Oryza sativa Japonica Group: one gene and its partners. Each later gene encodes a partner of the first gene's protein in a complex. Links are inferred from orthologs where the notes say so. Each region holds a gene or a part of one and is shown in the gene's direction. Other genes may lie near its edges.

The links. Proteins that work in one complex are often made in the same cells at the same time.
Region 2: photosynthetic NDH subunit of lumenal location 3, chloroplastic (region 1) and photosynthetic NDH subunit of lumenal location 4, chloroplastic share a complex: the UniProt entries of both Arabidopsis thaliana proteins name them as parts of the chloroplast NDH complex. The link is inferred for Oryza sativa Japonica Group from reciprocal best matches to the Arabidopsis thaliana genes PnsL3 and PnsL4.
Region 3: photosynthetic NDH subunit of lumenal location 3, chloroplastic (region 1) and photosynthetic NDH subunit of subcomplex B 4, chloroplastic share a complex: the UniProt entries of both Arabidopsis thaliana proteins name them as parts of the chloroplast NDH complex. The link is inferred for Oryza sativa Japonica Group from reciprocal best matches to the Arabidopsis thaliana genes PnsL3 and PnsB4.

Annotation. Positions count from the first base shown.
Region 1 is NC_089041.1:312,211-315,238, forward strand, and holds photosynthetic NDH subunit of lumenal location 3, chloroplastic, read left to right. Parts: upstream 1-1,455; 5' UTR 1,456-1,529; coding exon 1,530-1,797; intron 1,798-1,933; coding exon 1,934-2,334; 3' UTR 2,335-2,515; downstream 2,516-3,028. Other genes in the region: kinesin-like protein KIN-14N, read right to left, coding at 2,831-2,998. UniProt on the Arabidopsis thaliana protein: NDH shuttles electrons from NAD(P)H:plastoquinone, via FMN and iron-sulfur (Fe-S) centers, to quinones in the photosynthetic chain and possibly in a chloroplast respiratory chain.
Region 2 is NC_089036.1:32,085,082-32,088,940, forward strand, and holds photosynthetic NDH subunit of lumenal location 4, chloroplastic, read left to right. Parts: upstream 1-1,452; 5' UTR 1,453-1,527; coding exon 1,528-1,929; intron 1,930-2,163; coding exon 2,164-2,256; intron 2,257-2,362; coding exon 2,363-2,423; intron 2,424-2,551; coding exon 2,552-2,620; intron 2,621-2,798; coding exon 2,799-2,866; 3' UTR 2,867-2,918; intron 2,919-3,028; 3' UTR 3,029-3,346; downstream 3,347-3,859. UniProt on the Arabidopsis thaliana protein: NDH shuttles electrons from NAD(P)H:plastoquinone, via FMN and iron-sulfur (Fe-S) centers, to quinones in the photosynthetic chain and possibly in a chloroplast respiratory chain.
Region 3 is NC_089036.1:31,696,117-31,699,366, forward strand, and holds photosynthetic NDH subunit of subcomplex B 4, chloroplastic, read left to right. Parts: upstream 1-1,250; 5' UTR 1,251-1,356; coding exon 1,357-1,446; intron 1,447-1,550; coding exon 1,551-1,595; intron 1,596-1,689; coding exon 1,690-1,843; intron 1,844-1,937; coding exon 1,938-1,993; intron 1,994-2,082; coding exon 2,083-2,154; intron 2,155-2,301; coding exon 2,302-2,430; 3' UTR 2,431-2,737; downstream 2,738-3,250. UniProt on the Arabidopsis thaliana protein: NDH shuttles electrons from NAD(P)H:plastoquinone, via FMN and iron-sulfur (Fe-S) centers, to quinones in the photosynthetic chain and possibly in a chloroplast respiratory chain.

The DNA of each region.
Region 1 (3,028 bases):
ATTAAAAAAACACGCCATTTAGCAGTTTGAAAAAGCGTGCGCGTAAAATGGGCATCGAACATAGCTTAAGTCTATTTTGCCTCCTTCCACTATTGCGTTGTGCTGAATCGCATCCTCCAAATTCGAAACAGTTACAAATCGATTTCTTCTATTGTTGCAAAGTTTCTACTCACGGGGTAGTTAACCATGGTCAAACTTGTTGACGTGTACAAATGGAATCACATGTAGGGATAGATATCGAGTTGACTCGGCTCGGCTCATCAACAAGCTCGAGCTAGCTCGTTAAGCTCACGAGCTAGGGGCAAGAGACATAGCCGGCGAGCATAGGAAGCAGCTCAACCTCGCCTGCACTTCAAGTCTGCAACTAGGGGAGGAGGGGAGGAGCTTGACGGCGGAGAAAACGAGCTCGAGCTTGAGCTCGACGGCGACTACAGAGAGGAGCTCGATGGTGGAGGGGATGAACTCAACCTTCACAGCTCCGCCGACACTTGGACAGTTCACGGTTGGACCACGAGGAGGAGGCGAGCTCGACGGCGGGCACTGGGGGAGAGGCGGAGAGCGGCGGCGGCAGGCGCTCGATGGGGGTTGGCGGCGGCGGCTTGGCGCGGTGGCGATGGCGCTCACACGGCGGCGTGGCGCAGCGCCGATGGCGATGGCCGAGATGCGGATGCCGAGATGCACCGAGCGCCCAAGCCGCTGATGCGATGCGAATGCGATATGTGCGAGACGGTGGTGGACAGGGAGTCAGGGTCTCAGGCTGAGGTGAACTAGGGTTTTTTTTGATGAGTCTATTGGGCCAATGGGCCATAATGTATGTGTGCTGTTAGCTGTGGACCTGACTTGGCCTGGTAACCCCATAGCTCGTTAAGGCTCGCGAGCAGCTCGAGCTGGCTCGTTATCTCTAACGAGCTAAGATGCCAGCTCGGCTCGTTAGGAAATTCAAACGAGACAAGCCAAGTCGAGCCTGTCACGAGCCGAGTGAGCTAACGAACCACAAGCTTTCTGTCCACCCCTAACCACATGTAAATGCCTTGGTTTGCACCAGATTGAGAGGAGGAAGAGAGAAGATTGAGAAGATACACAAAACGAGGTGAGACATTAGCACATGATTAATTGAGTATAAACTATTTTAAACTTAAAAAATTGATTAATATGATTTTTTAAAGCAACTTTCGTATAGAAAATTTTTACAAACACACCGTTTAGTATTCGGGAAGTGTGTGCGTGGAAAACGAAACAAACTAACTCAAAATCACTGAATCACCTCCTGCAGAATAAGAAGATGGTGGAGGCATTATACCAGGTTTAGCGGTTAAGAGAGACGATTCAATCAAGAGCGAGAGAGGAGGGAGGCAAGTTAGACTAATTCCTTCATGCAGCCATTCTGTCGGCCCCTAGGAGAGGCAGCCCCATCAAACCGAGAGAAATATCTATGTGGTGCACTTTTGCAAAGGCGAAGGTTTTCCTCATCCTCTCGTGGCATCGCGCGCTATCCATTCATTCCCTTGCTACACTGACACACATCCTCGATGGCCACTTATCTCCAATCAGCAGGCCTCACCGCCGCCACTGCCAGCACCAGCCGCCTCCTCCGGCCAACACCACGGAGGCTGCTCCTCCTCGTGGCGGCGTGCTCCACTGGCGGACGGAGATCAGCCTGCCTCTCCGTCGGCCTCGCAGCCGCCGCCGCCACCATCTTCCAGCATCATCCCGCCTGCGCCGCCACCGACGACGAGCCGGCAAACAATGGGTGGTGGCTCACCGAGTTCCCTTTGCCGGTGCCAAAGATTGTCAACAGTGAGTAGTAAATTAATTACCATTACACACACAAAATATATAAATATAGTGATTGCAATATATATATATATATATATATATATATATATATATATATATATATATATATATATATATATATATATTGTGTGTGCAGAGGAGCTGAACAATGGCGAGACGGGGAGCCGGACGTTCGTGAGGAACGGCATCTACATAGCCGACATCGGGCCGAGCTACGCGGCGCACGCGTACAGGCTGCGGAGCACGGCGTTCGACCTGCTGGCGCTGGAGGACCTGCTGGGCAACAACGCCGACAGGGCCAACTACGTCACCAAGTACCTCCGCCTCAAGTCCACCTTCATGTACTTCGACTTCGACAAGCTCATCTCCGCCGCCTCCGACGACCAGCGCCCCCCGCTGCTCGACCTCGCCACCCGCCTCTTCGACAGCTTCGAGCGCCTCCAGAAGGCCTGCGGCACCAAGGACGACACCCAGATCGGCTCCTCCTATGCCGACACCAAGATCATCCTCCAGGAGGTCATGGCAAAGATGGCCTAGTGTTTCTGTTGGTGTACTAGCTAGTACTGTATTTCTCTCACTTTACTTGTCATACATACATATATATATATATATATATATATCCTCCTCATCACACACATATTCATATTCACATCTACGCTATGCAATATAACTTCATACTCAGTAAGTACTAAAAAGCAACAGAGCATTTCAATTCCAATTACTTGTCTGTCTTTATCATCCAAACAAAGCCAGCCCAACACAACACAGGGCACTTCTCCAATAAAATACAACCAACCTCACATCTTGTTACTACCACTGCACATTGATGCAGCCACAAATTAGATACTACAGTACTATCTGTAATGTAATGCAATGCGATGCTCGTACAATCAACAAAGCCACATGCCAAATCAGAATATTATACACACCCTCTAAGCAACCAACACACGGAGGGGATGCAAATGATCCATTGCATCCCTCAAACAACACACAAATACAATTAGTCATGGACATTCATTTTGTCCAAGCCAACTCATCCTTGCGCCAAGCTACGCACTTGGGTTTGACGACGAGGGATGCCAATCTCGCACGAGTTCACCCGTGCTGCGAACCGTAGCGAGCAAATTGACTCCCCTGTAGACGACACCTCTGGAGACAGATTCACAAACATAAGTGTCTTCGAGTCTCCTCCAAGGCATGGCTGTGTCCAAGGGGAACAAAATCATTCACA
Region 2 (3,859 bases), on another chromosome or scaffold:
GGCTTGCCCCTTTGCCGATTCGGGAAAAAGGGGAAGGGGAGCGGGAGCGTCGCGGCAGAGGGAGGAGGGGCGCGGCTCCGTCCCTTGGCGGCTTGCGCGCGGAGTGGCGGGGGCCGGGCGATGACGACGACGATGACGGGGGGACGGCTTGGAGCGGAGCGGCGACATTGGCGACAGGCGCGTGCAGAGGCTGACGGCGGCGGCGACCGGGCGGTCGACCACTCGGCACGCGCGCGCGGCTTGCAACGGGCGGCGTCCGCGCGGGCGCGCGCACGCGAACACAGCGCGCGGGAAGCGGCAGCGAGGGAGCGGTGAGGGAGGACTTGGCTCGGCGCGGGCGGCTTACGCGTGCTGGCTCGCGGGGCCGAGCGGAGGGGCGCAGGGCGCGGCTCTCGCGCTCGCGCGTGGCGCGCGAGGGAGGGGCGCTCGGCGCGGCGACGCGCGCTCGCGCGCGCGGCGCGGGGCGGAGCGGAGGGAGAGAGGGAGAGAGCGGGGGCGCGCCGGGGAAAGCGAGAGAGAGAGCCGGGAGAGAGAGGGGAAGATGGGCCGAGGGAAAATCGGCCCATCGACCCTGGGGGAGGCAAAATGGACTTTTGCGGAGGAATTTGATTTGGAGGGATTGGATTCGGAATTGAACTCGACGATAGATCGGGGATTGAGATCTTGAGATGGCACGGATACTAGACAACAAGCAAAGAAACAAATTTCGCAATTAGGGTTTTTAAGAGATAATTTCCCCGCTAGGCGCCACGACGGAACGGGCGCTACAGCAGGTCTGGCGAGGGGGGCGGGGAGGCCGGCGAGCTCGCCCTCATCCCACCTCCAACCCCTCCCCGCCTCCTCCCTCTTCGTATGCACTCGCTGCCGGCCTCCCCGCCTCCTCCCTCTTAGCATACGCTCGCTGCGGGAGCTGTGGGGGATGGCGGCGTTCTGGCTGCAGGCCAACCCCATCCTCGTCGGTGCCGCACCAAGTTGCCACATCGCCACCCGTCGCCAGCTGCCCTACCAGCCTCCTCCGCAATCCGCACCCGCTGGCCGCCCTGAGAAGAGAGAGAGGGAGGGAGAGGAGGGGAAAATGGGAAATAAGAGAGAGGTGATGATATGGCATCTTACATGTGGGACCCACGCGCTGACTCAGCCGTCACGTCAAATAAAACCGGGGTCAAAACCACCGAAGGATCTAAAGTGAACGGTTTTGTTAGTTGAGGAACGCCTGATATCTGGTTTTGCGGTTGGGAAACGATTTTGTAACTCGATGACAAGTTGAGGGACCTTCGGTGTACTTTTTCCTGGAATCATCTGTCGTTCCACGGGCCACGGCCGCCGTTTGGCGACGAGACACGCGGCTTGGCCCGCAAAAAAAACGAGGATTCCTTCCTCGGTCCTCGGGTGTTGAGTTGGGAAAGCCCATGGCCCGTGACGACGTACGCGGGCGTTTATAACGACGCGACAGAGAGGTGCCCGCGTTGCAGCAGCCACAGTTTGGGGATAATCCGATTCTCTACTCCCCAAGTGACTCACTCACCGATGGCGCCTCCTCCTATCTCCTCCTCCCTCTCGCTCATGGCCTCCAACCCAATCCCGTCGCCTCCGGTCGCCAAACCGGGCAGGCCGCTCACCGTCGCGGCGTGCAGCAACAGCAGCAGCAGCTCCTCCTCCTCCTCCCCGTCGTCGACCTCGTGCTCGGCTGCCTGGAGTCTCCCGGTGGCGACGTCGGCCGGCAGGAGGGGGCTGCTCGCGCTGGGCGCGGGGTTCCTGGCTTCCCCTGGGCTTCTGTGCCCCGCCGGCGACGCCGGAGCGACGCGCATCGAGTACTACGCGACGGTGGGGGACAAGCTGTGCGACATGAACGTCGTCAAGTCGGGGCTCGGCTACTGCGACGTCGAAGTCGGCACCGGCGCCCAGCCCCCGCGCGGCCAGCTCATAAATGTCAGTTCCGACAGAAGAGTTTCTCGCACTTTCTCTAGAAGAACCTGTGTTTTCTGAATATGATTAACTCCTGTATGGAGTAATTAAGCATTGGCAGATCATAAATTTGCCCAATTTGCATCAGTACCGATCCTTTAGTTAGTTCGACAACGAATAAACCTGCCATTTTTTTCTCGCCATGACACTGATAGGAGTTTCAAGTGTGTTAATTGGAGTTGTGTTCATGGTTGTAAGGTACACTACACTGCAAGATTTACTGACGGGATAGTGTTCGACAGCACCTACAAGCGAGGACGGCCACTGACAATGCGCCTTGGCGCAGGCAAGGTGCGCAGCTTTTGTTCATTGCACGTACATCTTCGATCGTAGCAAGCATCTTATGTAGTTATGCAAGGAATCTTATTGTTTGGTTCGTTCGCATTTTCATTCTCAGATCCTCCGAGGGCTTGAACAGGGAATCAGTGGTGGCGGTGGTGTGCCACCCATGCTCGTTGGTACTGTCAGAAATCCAGAAATAATAAGCATATGCATCTCTTTGTGTGTCAAATGCTAAAAATATAGTACTGCTTTTATTTTTCTTAATCACATCGTGTCTCTGTTGAAAATCGCAATAACATTACAGGTGGAAAGCGCAAGCTTATGATACCTGCAACTTTGGCATACGGACCTGAACCAGCAGGTTGCTTCTCAGGTAATAACGAAAGAAAAAAAAAAGTAATCAAACAAGTAATCTTAATTTAATTCTAGAAATTTGAGACCAGATTAAGTTTCATGTATTTAACGATGTTTCAGTGCTATCTGTCTGGCTCCCTTATTAGCATTCGCTAGAAAAAATATACAAATTTACAGAAGATTTACTTATTTAACAGGAGACTGTAATATTCCCGGCAACACCACACTCCTATACGACATCTTCCTGGTTGGATTTTACAAGTGAGCATATGATGAAAAGGAATATGCATGACTTGAACAGACTAGGTGCAAACAAGGTATGGTGGTGGTATTCTGAACCTGTCTGATTTTTTTTTCATCTGAAAACAGTATCCCTTGCCTAAAGGGGTTGTTGTTTGTTACATAAGCATGTTACATTCTCTGGCAGATTTTCGAGTAAATTTTGGCGTTTCATACAAGAGGCGGGACTACGGACAGATGAAGAGAAAGGGTGCGACATGCCTAAGCCCAGACGCCGAAAGCAAATGCGTCACCGGAGCTCCTTGGGTCTCCAATACGCAGAGTACTACATTTGCAATCTGTACCAAGAAGTGAAAGGATATATAACAAACCGGTCCTCTGATATACTATCAAATTGGTCTTATGTTTTCTAGAGAAGAAAAGTCTTGTGTTTGTGTAAGTATAACGTTGTAAAGACATGTCTCATTATTCATACTGTCATTGGTACAGCCAAACACAACAAAAATTCCCATCCTTTGTGGCAAGTCCTAACTAAATGAAGTTGAACTCTGACTGAATATCGATTGACTGGTGACTTCCAAACCTTCAACAGTTCAAGCAAGCTAATCGACTGTATCAATACTAATGTACTCAAAAAAATGTCGAAAGTTCGTGTCAAAGCACATGTGCAGTAGTAGCTTTGAGCCTTTGACTGCTGTCTGCACTGCAGTATTGCCACAAGATAATTTAATCATAGGTTTGTTAACCATCAAATCGAAACATGCATTGTTCAGACTTCAGAGAATATCCTAAAATCCTTTTATGAAACCAAAGAACACCCAAATCGTGAGAGTTGAACTATCGATTGACCGGTTCAGAGCCAGAACTGGTAGGTGAATGAGGGAAGAAAAGGAGAGCTGCCATTTCCGTGGCAGGAAGACTCAAGAATTCCAAAAGCTTCTTGTCGGTTTAAAACGAAAACCTTTTTCGTCAGATGCTCTGAATGCTGCTCGGTGTCATGAAATTCCTCATGGTTGTT
Region 3 (3,250 bases), on another chromosome or scaffold:
ATTTGTGTACATGTGATGAAACAGTTTTCTATCAATGGTGAGACAAGTTATTTTTTGAGACACATGTATATTTTTATCAAAATATAACCATGTGAGATCTTGTTATAAAGATTTAATGATGATGAATCTAATGGTATCATTGAAATTTAGATCAGAATATATAATTTTGGAGAAAAAAATATTTAAAATTTGAGGAAAAAATTAGGCACATGTAATAATAGAAGGGAGAGGGAGGGAGCGTATGCAAGCAGCAGCGCAAGCAACACATACAGGGGAGGCAAGCAACGTGGCACGTGAACAATGCAGCATGGGCGGCCTACATGCATGCGTATGCGCGCGGCAGTGCGGGGGTGAGCGTTGACCAGCAAGTGAAACATTATGTTATATATGGTGAAACAAAAAAAATCAACAACCGAAACATTTAAGTATTTTATGAAACATGGTGAAAATACACGTTGAAACATGTCGCTGGCACATATGAAACAACAAGTATTAACGAATTGAAACATATATTTTTCTTTTATCAAAATAAAATCATGTGATATTTTATTGTAAAGATTTAATTAGAACAAATATAATGGTGTGATCGGATCATAAATTGGATAAGTAATTTAAGAGAAAAATTATTTTGAAGCTTGCTAAAATACATACATGTGTGCATGGATGAGGTGGAGAGAGAGGAGAGAGAGTAGTAGCAGTTAGTTTCATGAATTTTGTGAAACACACCGATGACACATATTGAAACATATCACTATCACGTACGAAACATTTTGTTTTAACGTTTTGAAATACATGTTTTTCTTTTGACATAATATAATCATGTGATATCTCATTGTAAAGATTTAATTGCAACGAATAGAACGGTGTGATCGGATCGTAAATTGGATAAGTAATTTAGGATAAAAAATATCTAAAGAGAGGAGAAAAGAATGAAAAGAAGCAGTTAGACACATACGTTACAGTGACAGGGTTCGTTCTCACATGCCTGCATGGGCGTCCGATTTTTGGTGAGATGCCGGACGCCAAGCCGTAGCGCCCTCCAAGAAATGGCGGACGGATGCACGTAACGGGCCACGAGCCCACGGGTCAACCTAATCCCATCCGGCCCAAACATGACCTTGACCGGGCAAGGCCTAGCAACGCTCAAGCCCGCTTCAACCAAGCCCAAAATTCTTGTGCTTTTCGTCTGCCCAAGATCAGACAATGGTTGGCCACCCAAAAGTCTGACCTTATCCACTAAAATTTTCCATACAGATTACAGGTTACAGGTTTCACCCCTGAGCCAAACGTGAGCCCGCTACACTGACAACAACAAGCTCATCGCCAACCCGCTACTGAAGCAGCAGCCTACCAGCAATGGCGTTGCCGCTGCTCAAGTCGTCCCCCCACTTCTCTGCTCTTCACTCCGCGAACAGAGCCCAGCTCCATGGCCGCTGCCGTGCAACGGTACCGCACCGTCCATTCTCCCCTTCGCGTTCATGCAAAAACTGCTTTCCTGAATTCCTTGCGAATTTCACCTACTTGTTCAAATGTTGTTGTTAAATTTGCAGCTCGGTGGATTCCATGACCCGAGGTCCAACTCCAGCCGTTGCAAGGTGAAAGGTCCCAGTGCATTTTAATTTTTTCACCGAGAAAGAAGAAATCCGTGGTGATTGGTGAGGCAAAGTAATGCGGTCTTAGCGTTTGCAGAAATCGGCCGGGAGGGGTTCAGTGAAGGCGAACGCGTCCCCGTTGGACGTGGTGACGCTGATGGTGACGATGGTGGAGCACGTCGACCTGCAGAGGGACTACGTCGTGCACAAGTCGATCTGGCATCTCAGCGACGCCGCCCTCAAGAGCGTCTGTGAGTCGTCGTCGTCGTTTCACCTTTCCTGCAGTTTGTTGTTACGTCTGAAACTGAAACTTTTCACAAAAAAATTTCTCTGTCTGTCTCGTAGATACCTTCTACGCCTTCTTCACAGTCTGGGGCATCTGCTTCTTTGCGTCCATGAAGGCAAGCACGCAGAACATATGCCACTACAACTTGGAACGAAATTACATCTTCGATATGTGTTACTGACACGGTCTTGTGTGAATTTACAGGATCCTTTCTACGACAGTGAGGCGTACAGGGGACAAGGGGGTGACGGCACCGTGCACTGGTACTATGACCGGGTATGTCTTTCATTACGGCTTTTTTTTTTTCCTTTATCACGAAGAAAGAACATTCAGACAATTAGACAAACTCTAGTTGTGCGAAGCTACTAAGATAACCAGTCATTTTGCTGATCGATCTCCACTCTCCCATGGTTGATTCTGCAGCAAGAGGACCTGGAGGCGTCTGCAAGAGAGGAGCTCCTGAGGGAGGAGCTACTCGAGGAGATCGAGCAGAGGGTCGGAGGGCTCAGAGAACTCGAGGAAGCAGCCAAGGAGGAGCAGCTTACAAACTGATGGATGAATGAGAGATTGCGCATGGATGGATGACTGCATGATCATGGCGCGATGCGGCTGCATTCTGTAATACCGTACAGAGCGGCTGTGTAATAGCAAGATACACAGTTGCCTGATAGCGCCTGTAAATGTTGGCATCAGACTCAAAAGGAAAGCAAATAGGTGCTCCGTCTGCATGAATGCATTATATTGCATTTGTAGTGTAGGCTAAAAGAAGGAATGTACTACTCCATGTTAATCAAAGAACCTGTACCGTTCACCATGGTGGATATTGCTTCCAAAATATATAAATTGTGTAAATCGACTGATATAGACCTACACCATGGTGGATATACGTGCCCTGTGGAGACGGAAGTTTTGTCAGATCGCAACCAAATTGTGGCGATCCAATATGCTTTCGTTCTGTCGGCTCTCACGGTGTCGGGCCAACTTTATTTGGGTCCAGTACAGAATGGTAGCGATTATGGGCTACCTTTACCGGGCCGCTCGGTGATGGACTGGCCCAAAAAACTCCGTTAGTTCGGCCTGCTTGCGCTGGTGGTCGCGCGCTGGGAATTGGACGCCATCGTCGGCCACGGCCATTCGATCGAGGAAGAAGAACCGCTGATCATACTTGAGCTGCTCCACTACAGGCCGCGAACCAGCAGCAATCAGTCTGCACTCAACGTACAGTACAGACCACACTACCACAGTAGGTAGCACATGTATATACTACTTGTATAGGGTGCAGAACTTCGTAGTATTCCGTCGATCAGCTCATCAGTCATCAGAGACTAACAATAGTTATTTCGACACAGGTCTCTCGACAGGCTTGAATCGG